2 linked regions of the Pelodiscus sinensis genome follow. The protein of the gene in region 1 interacts with the protein of each later gene in a pairwise test. Links are inferred from orthologs where the notes say so. Each region holds a gene or a part of one and is shown on either strand. Other genes may lie near its edges.

Region 1 (7,271 bases):
AGTGCCCATGCAGGTGAACAAGAGGGAGTTGGAAGAACTTAGTAGCTCAGAGGATTAGGCCTACTGCTTGTAGCCCCTCTGTTCCTCAGTGAGCCAATGCAGGTGCGCCACCAGGAACACAGCTACTTTGACTATAAACTGCTGGCTAGCTGCCTCAGGTGACAGCTTCCCTCCACCCCCACTAACTGCCTCCATTGGCTTGGCTCAGCTTCCCCACTTGAGGCTGTGGCCCTTTGCTAGCCCCTTGGAAAACCCAGTGATGGGCAAACTGGTGGATGAGGAGACTGCAGTCTCCACCCAAAATGCTCACCAAGCCTTTCTGGAGGTTCAGAGGAAGTGGGTTAACTTTTTCTTTAGGTCTTTTGAATTTTCACACTCTGCATCTCTTTAAGACTTTGGCTGGAAGTGGAGGTACAGCAATATTGAGGGAACTAAGCTGTCCTTCCAGTATTAGTGAATTACTGGCAAATTAGGAAGCACCTGGAATTTCATAGAAAAGAACTTGAAAAATTCAAACCTGATATCCAGATTAGAGAAGGTTAAGGTGTGTCTAGACTACAGGGTTTTTTTAAAAAAAAAAGTGGCCTTTTTTTTTTTTTTAAAAAAAACTTCACCTGAATCTAGACTGCTGCCACATTTTTTTTGAAATTAAATTGAAAGAAGAGTCAGTTTTTTCAACTGCAGAAAACCTCATTTTACGAGGAATAACGCCTTTTTTCAAAAGTGCTCTTTCAAAAAAAGGCATTATTGAACACAAACTGTGCTTTTTCAAAAGAGAGCATCCAGACTGCCTTGGTGCTGTCTTTCGAAAAAGCGGCTCTCTTTTGTGAAAGTACTGGTTGCTGTCTAGATGCTCTCTTTCGAAAGAGGCTTGTAATCTAGATGTACCCTTAGAGAATTGCAGGAAACCTATGGATTCAAACTTAAACTTCTCGCTCTTTCAAGCCATGCCCATCACTAACACCATCATATTTTCCAAACCAGAATGCTCACACAGCTCTGCTGTGCAGAGGTAGCCTCGGGAGCTTTCAAAGGCAGCAGAAGGCTTCAGTGTACCTACACCACTGACAATTCCAATCTGCCGATTAATAAATCGAAAGTTCTGAAGAAACACCCATTACCCAGCACTGAAGGCAAGAAAGACATTCAGCAACATGTGAGAGCAACCGCTCAACTGCTCACCCTCCCCTGCAGCAGAATTCTAAGAGACTCGTCAGAGGGGCAGCAACCTGTTATAGAAAACAACTCGTACGGCCACAAACTTTGCTCAAGTTGAGCAGTACCGGGCTATTAATCCATACTGCAAAGTAAGCGCCATCCCCACAGATGTAAAAGATTCATCCGCAGAGCAGTACAAGGGTTAATTATGGCTCTAGCTATGCAGCCAAAAGAAACGTACAATAACTGTTATTAAACTTGGTTGCAACTAAACCACATTTTCATCTGGCCTTTGTGAATGGGGGCCAACCCACGTTAAAGAAAACATATGCTTTTAGTCCAGGTACAGACCTTTATAGGGGTTTTTTGTGGGGCAAATCTGCTAAGCTAGTCTATTCACATTGTTTATGTTTGTAAAGAAAAATTACAGTGCTGAATTAAAGAGATTTATGGGCAAGATGTCAGCCTTGCTCACTTTAAAGCTAATCTCATAAATCATCGTGTTGGCCTCTTCAAGGAGAGTCATTAGCTGGTCTTTAAGATCATGGCCAAAAGTGAGTACTGCACTTTAATAGCTGCCGCCAAGGCAAAAGAGAGAGGGGTTTAGCTCCTTTTATTGGCAGGTCTAAATTAAAACAGATTCCTCCCAAATGTTTCCCAAACCACCAACAAAAGGCCAATTTTGAGGGTCCCTTTAAAGCAGGGCTACTCAACTTTGGAAGCCCCAGGGGCCACAATGATACTCACAGCACATGCCCAAGTCTGCAACTTAAGTGCGGTTGCATATATATGCAACTATATATGCAAATAGCTTATTTCACATCAATGGGCATGTATCAAAGATTAAGGCAAGACTGTACGACACGCAGGCCCCATTTAAGTCAGTTCTGCTGATATTCATAAAATGCAATATTTACCCGATGTCAGCACTTTTAATGAGCAATGACAGTCCAGGAATTTAACTACTAAAACACATATCAACAGAAGACCATTATATTGACTACTTTTTTGTTTTCGCTTCCACCCGCAGGCACATGTTGAGCTCCGTGTAAACCCAAATGGCACCATGGGCCACAAACAAGCGGGCCGCATGTTGATTAGCTCTGCTTTAAAGGAAGGAAAGAGGCAGCAGCAGGGGATGGGAATAGAGCTGCTTAAACCTTTCACTGAAATCACTAGGAAACTGGATAACTTTGCCCATGTAAAACGAGGAATCAGATACTGTGGGTCTTGTCCTGCCCATTCCCCACTCTCACAATTGCCAGGACACTGGGCAAGGAGAGGCAGGCTCAGGAGCCTCTCCAGAATCCCTGTTATTATGAGCACAGCTCGGTGGCAGATGGCCCAATGCTTTGTATTTAGTTCAGCCTCCCTACGAGGGAGCGAAAGGAGGAGCAGGGGTCACCATGGATCAAATGTTCTTCATAAGCAAAACCCAGAGGAGGGTTTAAAGGCAAACGGTGGAGACCCACTTGGCGCGCTGGCTAGCACAGATGGCAGGATCCGTGGGAATGAAGCGAGGGCTTGCTTCAGGGAAGACTCCCATTGACTTTTAGAGGCTTTGGATTGGGCCTTTAAGGAGTGGTGTCTCTGGGGGTCTCTGCTACACCTGCTTCATTACATCAGTGCGGTGTGACTTACAGTTATGTGGCCAAGATGACCCTGTTGATCTTTACTGCTTGGGGAGGGAAGGGTCTCTCTCTCTCTCTCTGAGCCCAACCCATCCAACACTATGGGACTGCAGACTGTTGTTTCTGGGCAGCTGGGAGCTAAGCAGTGCATCCGTCGCACCTTGCCATTTCTTATCTCATGGTAGATTTCTCTGTTTCCCCACTTGGAGGCTTTAGAATCTGAGTAAGGCAAAGGACGCAGCATGCACTGGAATGCCCAGGGAAGAGAACGGCTGATATGAGCAAGGGGCTGTTCGGGTGACTCTGCTGGAGATTGCAGGAATAAAGAGTAAGGTTCGACCCTAAGGGTGTGTCTAGACTACAGGGTTTTGTCGACAAAACTAAACCTGCATCTACACTACCACTGAGTTCTGTCGACATAACATTGACAGAACTCAGCAGTTTTGTCGACACTGGTAAATCTCATTTTACGAGGAATAACGCCTTTTGTCAACAGAGTTCTGTTGACAGAAGGCATTATTGCATCTAAACTGTCCTTTGCGTCTACACTGCCATGTCGACAAAGCAGCTTGCTTTGTCTACAGAACTGGATGTAGTCTAGACTCTTTGTCGACAGAAGCTTTGTTGACAGTATCTGTTGACAAAAGTTCTGTCAACAAAAGCCTGTAGTCTAGACGTACCCCAAGTGTGTACCCACGGTGAGATCTTTGGTACAGATTTACAGTAAAACTAAAAAGGAGGCTCAGAACTATATGAAATACTACAGCAGAACTGTGTGTCTCACAGGAACACAGATGGCTCGGGCTTTAGGGAATAAAAGCAATGCCTTTTAACTGGTTTTACACAGACTGTTCTGTAGCTTTGCCCTGTAGCCTTCACCTTTTAACAGCTGTCGTTCTGAATTCTCCATCGGCTCTCTTCTCTGCCGTGCTCACACATCTATACCTGAAAAAGTCTCATTTGTTTGTTGGGCAGGGGACAGGGAGGAGAATGTCTTCGTTCCTGGCTTGATAAGCCTGATTTATTACTGTACCCAAATTGTTAAAGAGGTACTTACAAAGGAGAGCATTTGGGTTCCATTCTACTCCCATCTACCAACACCCTCAAAAGAAAAAGCACATCCCAGGGTGCTACAGCAATGTGTGGCAGCCAAAACCCCTAAGATGGACAGTACTGCACATTTTACAGGCCGGTTCCCTTACAGAACGAACCCCTGACATTCCCTGCTTATTCATTTAAACCTGAATCCCTATTTTTCACAATGTTCCCCATTCAAATCCTCTACGTATCTATGAGCTAACACCAGCCTCATCTCAGCCAGCCCAGAGAACAGTGCTTTAGATGAAACAGGAAGCCTAACAACTTTAGCCTGCAGTGAGACCTCTAGTGTTTTTCTTACTCTATGTCCTGGCATAGTTCCTCTAAAGTACAAACGCACACAGAGCTCCTATTGTTTGCAGCCCTTCACAAGCCCACTGATCCTAATATGGAATTCAGCAGGAAACCCATGATTTCCTGACACACAGCAAGCTGAGGAAAGAAAGGAAAAACTCCATTAAAAACCTCCAGCTTTCCTCCATGTTAGAAATGAAATGGAAAATGGAGTGGATTTAGCAGGAATACCGGAATCCTCTGGCCAAACTGGAGAAGGGGAGAAGAGAATCAACGCCTCTGACTGCTGATATTTTTAAAGTTGCAATAAACAGAGGTCTCTCTGTCAGGATGAGTATTTCCTGACTCCAGCTCACAAGAAAGGACAATCCTTTTCTTGAATTTTTAATAGATGTATCATTTATTTACCTCAATGCTTCTCTTTACTGATACGGTAATTGTTAGAGGCAGCTGGAACAGCCTGGAGACAGTATGATTTCCTGAGGTGGAGAGCCTCCGAAACTCAGGAAGAGTGAATACAATTGCACTTCATTTTTCCTTCATGTGCACTTGGAAGTCCTGGGACCAGCAGCAGTGCCGCAAGAATGAACTGTAAGGAGGAAGATGACACCAGCACCGAATGCAGCAGCAATAACGTGAAGAAGATGTTAAAGTGCGTGGTGGTTGGGGATGGTGCAGTGGGGAAAACCTGTTTGCTGATGAGTTATGCTAATGATGCCTTCCCAGAGGAGTATGTGCCTACCGTATTTGACCATTATGCAGGTAAGGAAGTGGTTTTTACAAAGAAAACTTCAGAGGGAAAGGGAAGGGAGACGGAGGGCAAAGGAGATGTCAAGGGACTACTAGCCCGAGAACATGAGTCAGGTTTGGAAGGCAGCCAGGCAGAGTAGAGGGCAGCACATTCAAGGAGGGCACTGAAGGATTTGTTATTTGTTTCCCATTTTATTTTTTTGGCAAATATGCAGAATTAGAAACACAACTTTAAGTAACCTCCCCTGGCTTTAAAGGCAGTGGCTATAATTCAGTGTTTCTATAGTTATTTGCCAGGCTTGTTTTGAAGTTACGAGCTGAACTCTGCCCACTTCAGTCTGTCTGACTCTAACGTGCATTTTGTCAGTCATCTTTTTCCTTGTGTGGCAAGTGATTCAGAAGTTGCAATACTGAGATCCTCTCTATGAACTAATCTTTGAGAAAAGCAGTGACACCTCACCTAGTGCTGCCGGAATGAAGGTCACTTTGTTGTATTGGCATTTATGATTAATAGTAGTTAATATCAGAGTATTAGAGTAGTTAATAGTAGAGCAAAGCAGCACTGGTTTTAATGCTTAATGATGAATGCACTTGTCTTAATGAAAAAAAAAAAGAACAATCATTCACAGAACATAGCAAAGATCATAACTGATCTTGATTGTATCACAGGGCAAAATGAAAAACATATCTTAAGAAGATCACGGTTTAGGTACAGTATTCACAGGCCACTTCTGCTGTAGCAACTCCTTGCAACTTTTTTAGGTGCTTCAGAATTTACCATGTGTACTGTGCAACAGGCTGAAAACAGTCTTTAATGTTGCTTTAGTTTTCCTAATGCAAGAAATTGGTTGTCTTCATCATGTTACGCTACTGATCCTATTTTTTTATTTATAAGATCCCTAAAAAAACAGATTTTGTAAGTTATACAAAACTTATCACTGATCTTGCAGCAATTTTGTTTGCTTTTTGTTTTCTGTTTCTCCTAAACTGGATTTTCATGGCATGGCTTATCATAGATTTGGTATTCTGTAATGGGAAAATCTCAGCTTTCACCTTGGCTTCATGTCAGGTTTAGCAGAGAGACATGGCCAAAAAAGAAAACTGTAAATGCTGAGTTTGATATGAGGTAATGTGAAACCCTTATTTCTCCATAAATGTGTGTAGCTTTGTCTCTAGATGTTAACAACAATGTCTTTTCTCTACCATCTCACCCATTTGTTTTAAATTCCCATTTTAAAAAAACCTGTTTACACAAAACAGAAATAGGAGTAAAAATTTAATAAAGATAATGTGTGAAACAATATATATATTCCCATTTAAATGACAATTTTACAAATGTATTTGCAGGGACTGAAGACTTAGGTTTCTGAGATTGTCTCCAATTATTTTATTGAAATTTTGAAACGTTAAAAGCAAGTAGTATAAGGAAGAATGATTTTTAGGAGAAAGCCCAGAAAGCTAAAAAGATTGTTTTGAGTCTTTGGATATTATTGTACTATTGTGGGACAAACTCTGCCTGATTGGTGTGATTAAAAACTAGAGGTAGTCAGAAAACAAAATTTCTATTCCAGGGGAAATTCCAGCATTTTGAAATCTGTCTTTGTTCCAAATCAGCATGAAAAGCAAAATGTTGAAATGTTCCATGCAACAGTATTAAAAAAGGGGGGATGGAGGTTGATAGTTCAGCAGTTTGACACTATCAAAGAATTAAATATAATACAATACATTTGATACAATTTAACATTAAAATTCTAATATAACCTATACTTCAAAACAGAATCAAAACAATAATGTTTGAACAAAACATTTTGACATTATCCAACCACGAATGTTGAAATGATTCATTTAGACTTCCTGTCAAAAATGTCATCAAATTCAACACGTTCTCCCAAAATGTTTTGACCAGCTTTATTAATACCAGTGTTGTGTTAGCAGTGTTCCTCCCGTCTCACCGGGTCAGTGTCACAGCCTGACTGGGAACGTCAGATTATTTACTGATTTCCTTCTTTCTCTTGGAGTAAAAGAGCAGGAGAGTCAGGGGAACCTATTCTGATCTAAGAATCACTTTTGCACTGGGATCACTGTTATCTTCCAGGATACTGTTCTGCCTAGCTCAGAACTGGGAATTGCTTAATAACACAGTTGTCACTGAGCAAATGCTGTTAACCATCAAAAGCATCTGATCACAATTATGCTAACTTGCCCTATCTACTTTCTAGCCTTTGTTCATGTGGGCTGCAGATGTGGGAAAGGTATTCATATTATTGATGCAAATAGAGGCAGGCAACGTGTGTGTAGGAAAGGAATTCTGTCAAATTTCAAGGGGCTAAGTGCCAATTA
Region 2 (7,731 bases), on another chromosome or scaffold:
TGCAAATATAGAACAGGGTAGGATAAATTGCTGAGTATTTTAATGATCTACATTAATGTTTAATTATTTCAAGTTAATTTGAAAGAAATAATCTGTTCTAATCAGTTGTAATGACATCTATTACTGAATTTCTGGTAGAGGTAGACATTTGATTACAGCAATTTGGGACTGGAAAGGTTAATCTTCAGAAGCTTTACCTGAGCTTTATGGCTGAGAGTATGCAGTCAGGGGGAAGATGATCAGAGGAATGGATACCCTATTTAATGAGAGGAGACTGGAAAGGCTTAGCAAAAAGAAGACTAAGAGCCTGGTTGTGATCTCTGAATGCAGCAAGGCGAAAGAAAACCAGGGAGAGTTAGTACAAGTATAGAACAATATTGGTACAAGATTAAAGGGGTATAAACTGGTCTTGAACAAATTCAAGCTGGGAATGAGATGCTTTCTAACCATCAGCAGTATGAGGATCTGGGACAGCCTTCCAATAGGAAGAGTGTTTGGGTGTGAGTGGGGGCAAACAACATACTTAGTTTTGAGATCGATCCTGACAGATTTGTTGGCATTGTATGATGGGGGTATAGAGGTGATTGGTTGTACCTGAATCAATTGGTATTACAGATCTTTTATCAAAAATGATGTTGGCAGCCAGTTATACAGTAAACTAAGTTTATTAACTAAGAAAAAAAGACTGAGTTACTGAGCTGTGAGAGCAGGTAAATATAACAGGTAAATCACAGTTTGTAATTCCAAATGGTGGCAATGATGTAATGAACTGCGTTTCCCAAAAGTCCTTCTGGATCTTTGTCTTCACATTCAGTTATTGTGCCCTGTTAGAATCCAAATAGTCCAGAGATAGATGTTCTTTCTTCGAATCCACGTTTATATCTTCTTTCAGAAGACAAGCTGACAGTCTCTCTTAACTATCGGCTTTTCTTTGATTACAGATAGTAAGGAATGGACTTAGAGTCCTTACTTTGAATATCACACACAAGGATCACTTACTTAGAAGCATTTTCTGTTAAAGTCCTTAAACACTTCATTAGCATTTCCTAAAGTTCTTTGATGGGTAATTTAATTCCAGGGCTATAAACAAATGTAAATGTTTGCTATATTATAACAAGAATAGATAAACAAGAACAATAAAAGTAAGGACCCATTAGTTTTCATGAAGTTTAAAGATCTGCGTATGCTCTCATACATTCAGCAATTAGGGATATTAAATTTCAATTAATTGGCTAATTGAATAGTCGATGCAGTTTGCATCAACGATTCAATTAGTTGATAAGGGCACCTCCACCTTTGAAGTGTGGCAACAGCCACAGGATGAGCACAGGACCAGTGGGCGACTCAAGCAGACTCCTGCTGGTCCCGTGCTCCCCGTGGTGTTTCAAAGCGGCAGTGCTGCATGGAGCCTAGGGTCAGCGGTCCTCAGCTGACCCCGGGCTCCATGCGTCACAGCTGCTTTGAAATGCCACATGCAGCCCAGGGCCAGCTGGGAGTTCCCAGCTGGCCCAGGCTGCATGCGGTGTTTCAAAGCAGCAGCTCTGTGTGGAGCCCGGGGTCTGGCTCTGGGCTCTACACAGCACTGTTGCTTTGAAGCAACCCTTGCTCTTCCCCCTCCTCTCCACTTGCTACCTCCTTCTGATAGAAGCAGCCAGGGTGGGGGAAGTGACTAGTTGACTAGCATGTCGACTATCTGATAAGCATTTGCTTAGTCATTCACGTCCTTAAAATTAGTTTGATCTATCTTAATAGTAAGTCAATTGGCCTGAATGCACTCTTACATCTAACACTTGCTTTTGATCTGTACTAACAAAGGTGAACCAGCCCTTGGCCCTGATCTGACCTGGTTTGCTAGTGTCAGAGGGATCCCCCCCCCCCAATAAGTATTCTGTGGTTTTTCTTTTTAAATCTTCTAAAGCATTAGAAAAACCACTGGTGGAGATGGGTCACAGGACAGAATGGGCCAGTGCTCTGAGGTGGTACCAAGTAATCTCTTTCCCAGATGCTTGTCTGATTGGTTCTTGCTCACATGTCCAGGTTCCAATTGATCATGCTATGTGGGATTCTGATGGACTTTCCCCCCAGGTCAGATTGCCAGTGGCCTTGGTGATTTTTTTTTAAACATGTGTGTTCCTCTACAGCATGGATGCACATTGTTTGCCAGGGTCATTTGTGTGTCTCCCTTCCCTTGGGCCTTGTGCACCTCATCTCTTCTTTTCTATTTTTATGGCATATAGTTTAGTCTCGTGTCGGCTGTCATACCCAGGCCTGACTTTGCTTATTGAGTTTAGTGGGCAGGAAATCGGACTAGATGAAAGAAAAGTAAACCCACTGGCAAAAAAATCTTTAGTGATACAAAAAACAAGGAAAGAAGAAATGAGCTCGCAAATTGGTGTGGAGTTTAAAGATAATCTAGGCATGGTCAAACACCTAAATGAATATTTTGCCTCATCTTACAAAAAGAATAATTAGAATCTTGGGGACAGCGCAGGATGGCCACTAGGAACAAAGATATGAAAGCTGAAATTACCACATCTGAGATGAAAGTTAAACTTATTTTTATGGGACAAAACCAGGACGCGGTATGGGGATAATCTCCATCCAAGAATATTAAAAAAACTGGCACATGAAATTGCAAACCTCAAAACAATGATTTTTAATACATCCATAAACTCAGGGGTCATAGCCTATGACTACTGAATTGCAAATACAGTACTTTTAAATATACAATTATCTGACCTAAACAGGACTGGAGGATGATTGGATAGTGAAAATGTTAGGTAATATGGAGTACCAATAAAAAACATGGGAATAAATATGTATTACTAATTCTAATGAAAAAATAAACATCAAACAAAAGCACAACTGCACTCCTGTGTGGTGTGGGCGCATGCACTGATTGTGATTGGCTATTGTACATGCTGCGTTCTTATTCGTCAATTTGTCACGTCGGCGGGTGGCACGTTGGATAAAATGGTATGTTGGATAAGCGAAGGTCAGAAAATCGAGACTGCCCTGTAAGAGGTTAAAAAAGTGATGAGAGAAATTACAGGCCCTTTTGGTTTGGTTTGTATGCAAAGTTGTAAAACAAATGTTGAAAGAGAAAGTAAGGACGTAAAGATAAATAGCAATTAGAATAAAATACATAATCATTTTACGAAAGATAGATTATAATAACGTAAGAATGGCCAGACTGGGTCAGACCAAAGGTCCATCCAGCCCAGTATCCTGTCTGCCAACAGTGGCCAATGCCAGGTGTCCCGGGGGAGTGAACCCAACAGGTAATGATCAAGCGCTCTCTCTCCTGCCATCCATCTCCACCCTCTGACAGAGGCTAGGGACACCATTCCTTACTCATGCTATGGACTTAACCTCCATTAATTTATCTAGTTCTCTTTTAAACCCTGTTATAGCCCTAGCCTTCACAACCTCCTCAGGCGAGGAGTTCCACAGATTGACTATGCACTGTGTGAAGAAGAACGTCCTTTTATTAGTTTTAAACCTGCTGCCCATTAGTTTCATTTGGTGGCCCCTAGTTCTTATATTATGAGAACAAGTAAATAACTTTTCCTTATTCACTTTCTCCCCACCACTCATGATTTTATAGACCTCTATCGTATATCTTCTTTGAGAAGATAATGGATTCTCTTCAAAGGAAGTGGAGAGGATCTATTCTGACTGTATTTCAATAAGGTATTATATAGTTATACAATGGAAATTATTAAATTGGAGAGGACAGGGATTAATATGAGAATGAAAAGCTTGGTGAGGAACTAGTTAAAGAGGACACTGTAACAGGTCATGCTGAACAGTGAACTGTAAGGGTGGTGGGAGGTTACTAGTGCATTTCTTCAATGACTGGTCTTGAGACCAATCTTAGTTTCCATTATCATTACCGACCTTGGCACAAAAAGTGAGAGTACACTAACGAGTTTTGCACATGACAAAGGAGGGCGGTATTTCCAATATGGAGGAGGACCGGCATATTGTGCAAGAAGTATTGGATGACTTCAAAAGCCGGTGGTAAGAGAGTGTTCCGCAACTGGGGGTGGGGGGTCTACTTCACATCCTCCATTACGTCCTATGTGGGGGCAGAGTTTTTCTGGGCAGTGTCTGAAGATGTCCAGGGAGGAGCAGCGGGTACTGTCAGCACTGTCCAGGGGCCTTTGCTAGGTGTCCCCCCTCTGGATCCCTGCTTCTGAATGTATCCTTGCTCCTACCCCTGACTCTTCATGTGCTGCTGGGCTGGGTCTAGACTGGCCAGTTTTTCCGCAAAATCATCTGCTTTTCTGGAAAAACTTGCCAGCTGTCTACACTGGCCGCTTGAATTTCCGCACCAGCACTGCCGGTCCCTGTAGGAGTGTCAGTGTCCTTGCGGAAATGCCGTGTTGCTCCGGGCAAAAGTCTTTTTCCGAAAAACGTCTGCGCCCGAGGGCCAAATGGCGATCCTGGAGGGCGGGGCTACCCAGCGCCGCCGGCCTGCTCCCGCTGGGCCCTGTCTCCCATGGCAACCGGGAGGCAGCCCCTCCCTCCGCTCCGGGTGAGGAGGCGGGAACGGAGCCGGGGGCGGGGCCCCCCAGGGGTGAGGGGCCCAGGACTCCGCTTCCCAGCGGGCCCCGCGCGCGCCGGCACCTCCCCCTTTGCCCCGCCCCGCGCCCGCTGCATCACGGGAGCGGTAGTCTCCGCGCGAACATGCGCGGAGGGCGGCCCCGCCCCCTCCCCTCCTCCTCCCGGGCTGTGGCCACGCGCGGCGGTTCCGCTTCCCCCTCCGGCTGCCGCCGCCTCGGTGGGTCCCGCTGCCGCCATCGCAGGAGGCGCCGCGCGAGCCAGGGGCCGCGGCCGGGGTCCCCCCGCCGGTGAGTCCCGCGCTGAGGCGGCCGCCGATCGCTCCTCCCGCGCCGGGCGGCCCCCACCTGCCGGCGGGTCCCAGGCCGCGGCGCCTCCGCCCGCCCCGGGGCGCGGGGCCAGGTGCGGGCAGCCCCCCCCCCCCCCGGCTGCTCCGGGAGCCGCAGGCAGCGCGCGGGCGGGCGGGCGGCTCTTCCCTGGGGGGCGGGGGGGCTGCGCCCGGGCCGCGCGGAGGAAGGCGCACCTGCCCCGCGCGCCGCACTGCTGTCCGCGGGCAGGGCAAGCGGGCTCGGTGTGTGTCCTGCTCCTGTGCTCTCGGGCTCTCAGCCGCAGGGTGAGCGCCACGGGCTGGTGTGTCGCTGCATCGGGGCCTCCCTGGCGCCCTGACCTCTTGGGGTAATTGCACACAAAGAATTAATGGAGTTGTCAAGTTTTGCCCAAACTGACATTTTGTAACAGAAATATTGTTGGTGAATCTGTGGGTTTACTGGATTTCTTTTTCTCTACCATTCCCTGGTAGTGTAAGCAACCCAAATATCGCAGCATTCCATTAGTGTGTGTGTGTGTTGGAAAATTCCTTTGTGGATCAGTACCCCTTTGTGGTTCGTTTATGCTTTGTCTCAGTGTAGTTGTCACTGTCTGGTTTTGTTTGTTTGTTTGTTGAAGTCGCTTTCCTGTTTTCTGACATCTTTATTTTTCTACTTTTGTTCATTATGTGTTTTTTCTATCTGCTCCCCCAGCCCTCCTCACAAGAGACTCTGAAGTGTTTAAGGCCAGAAGGGACTATTAGATCATCTAGTCCGACCTCTTGCTCATTTCAGGCCATTACATTTCACCCAAATACCCCACTTGTGAGACCAGTTACTTTTGGTAAATAAAGCATTTAGTCCTTAGGGGACTAAACCATTGTGTTGCAGGCACAACACAGGAGAGATGGGTGCTGTGTAAGTTCTTGCAGTGGCAGGAAACTGACTAGGTGTGAGAAGTGCCTACATGATCCCAACAGGCCATGTGTATCCCATAATGAGGAAGAGGAAAATATCTTAGAGTCCCTGCAGATCTGATCTTGGGGGACCTCCTTACCTATATCTGATCGATTAGACCCTGAGCATGTGAGCAAGATATGCCAGCCACATGTCTAAGATGGAATTTGGATGTACATGTGAGAGGGGGTGTGTGTCTAACTGGGTCTCTAACTTATACCATTGACAGAACTACTTTTAGTCCAGTACTTACCCTCTCCTGTCCTTTTTTATGTTTTCACTCTTCCCAAATTCTTTTTTTGGTTGGAATTTCAGTGCTCAAGTATTGTCTGAGAGTTGGACTGAGCTTCCAGAGCCAGTATGTTCTTCTTTCAGATTAACAGATCGTTAATTGATGCCTCTGCTGTGGCCACAGTGAAGATAAATCATGGTTTTTGGAATAAGTATCCTAACTGTTACAGCAGCAGTGTTTTAAAGGGCTTATTTTAAAAAACCAAACCAAACCCAAATGGCATATTTGGATGTACCATTCAACCACACCAATGTCAAAGGGTTTTGCCAAGTAGTGGTGTGAATGAAAATGCTAATGCTGGAGTCTTGGGCTAGGACCTAAGCATCACTTTGTATACTGACATGTCTGATCAAAATGCACAGGTGGGGAGAAAAGGAGGAGGGTAGCAGAGGCATGGAAGTGGAAACAATTGAGTGAGATTATGGAGGTGTCAGGCTATTAAAAATTATTTGCCTTAGATCCCCTCTGTCCACTTAATAGCGCTGACATATGTGGTGGGCTGGGAAGTCCTATTTAAGTAATTTATAGTTAAGGATTTAAAGCACTGGTGGGCAGTATGCAAGGCGGCAGGTGGTCCTTCTGGGGTCTGTGTGTGGCCTGTGAGAGATTCTGTTTACCATTGCCCAGGCATGTCCATGTAGTTTTTTCCTACCAGTACTGCTAAAGTGATACGCACCTAAAGTAAGTGCATATGAGCTGAAATTGCACACAGCATTGATTGCGAGAGCCATGTGCTCTCTCTACATCCAATCAAAGTACTGTTACTGTCCAGTGGGCACTCCCAGCAAATTCTAAGGTAGGCAAGTGTAGTTAGCAAAACTACCCCATCCCAGGAGACTGTCTTGGATATGGCAATCATGTGGCCCACTCACTAGCCTAGGTTGCCCATCGCTGATTGAAAATAATCTAAAGCAGTTTTACCAGTGCCATTTTGTAAAACGACATATATGTTTTAAGCAGTAGTGGTTGAACAGGAAGATGATTTATAGTTTGTAGGATTGAAACTAACTTCGTCCAGTCAGATGATCGCTCTCCTTCCAAGCTATATTATAACTCCTCAAGGTATAAAATCAAAGAGCTACAAGTATTTGTGACTTGTACAAGGCAATATAAATGTAACTTTAATTAAGAATATTGTAGGCAGTTCAAGCAGGCTAAATCCAAATCCTCATAGAGACAATTGTAAAGCTTTCCATTGAAGAGATCGTTCCAAAACCTTAACTACAGTGATCGGTTTCACTGCTTTTTTTTTCTTTATGAAAACAGACACTAGTTGGAGCAGTAAGAAGGTTAAAAGAATACAAGCTTTCAGTATATTCCTTTGAATCTCTCGAGTTAACTAGGTAGTGGTTTCTTGAAAATATTGTAAGTGACTCACAAATAAAAGTCTGCAATTGTCCAGTGGTGTCTGGAAGATATTACCATTCCATAAATAAGAATTATGCATAAATTACAATTGAATGTCACTAGAGCATGCGTTAGTCGGACTAAGGATTCTTAAGATGCTTTTCTGTCTAGGGTTGGTGTTTTTTGTATCATTGTAGTGTACGATGAAAAGAAACTGTTTAATATTAGCATTATGCATTTTCATGAAAGTATGATGTGTTAAAT

What was found. The genes of interacting proteins can lie anywhere in the genome.
Region 2: the proteins of RHOJ (region 1) and PAK2 interact in binary tests that used the Homo sapiens proteins (3 or more experiments, as listed by UniProt). The two-hybrid records come from large-scale screens. The link is inferred for Pelodiscus sinensis from reciprocal best matches to the Homo sapiens genes RHOJ and PAK2.

Annotation. Positions count from the first base shown.
Region 1 is NC_134714.1:14,816,732-14,824,002, forward strand, and holds the start of RHOJ (rho-related GTP-binding protein RhoJ), read left to right. Parts: upstream 1-4,212; 5' UTR 4,213-4,765; coding exon 4,766-4,943; intron 4,944-7,271.
Region 2 is NC_134720.1:621,740-629,470, forward strand, and holds the start of PAK2 (serine/threonine-protein kinase PAK 2), read left to right. Parts: upstream 1-4,700; 5' UTR 4,701-4,856; intron 4,857-7,731. UniProt on the Homo sapiens protein: Serine/threonine protein kinase that plays a role in a variety of different signaling pathways including cytoskeleton regulation, cell motility, cell cycle progression, apoptosis or proliferation.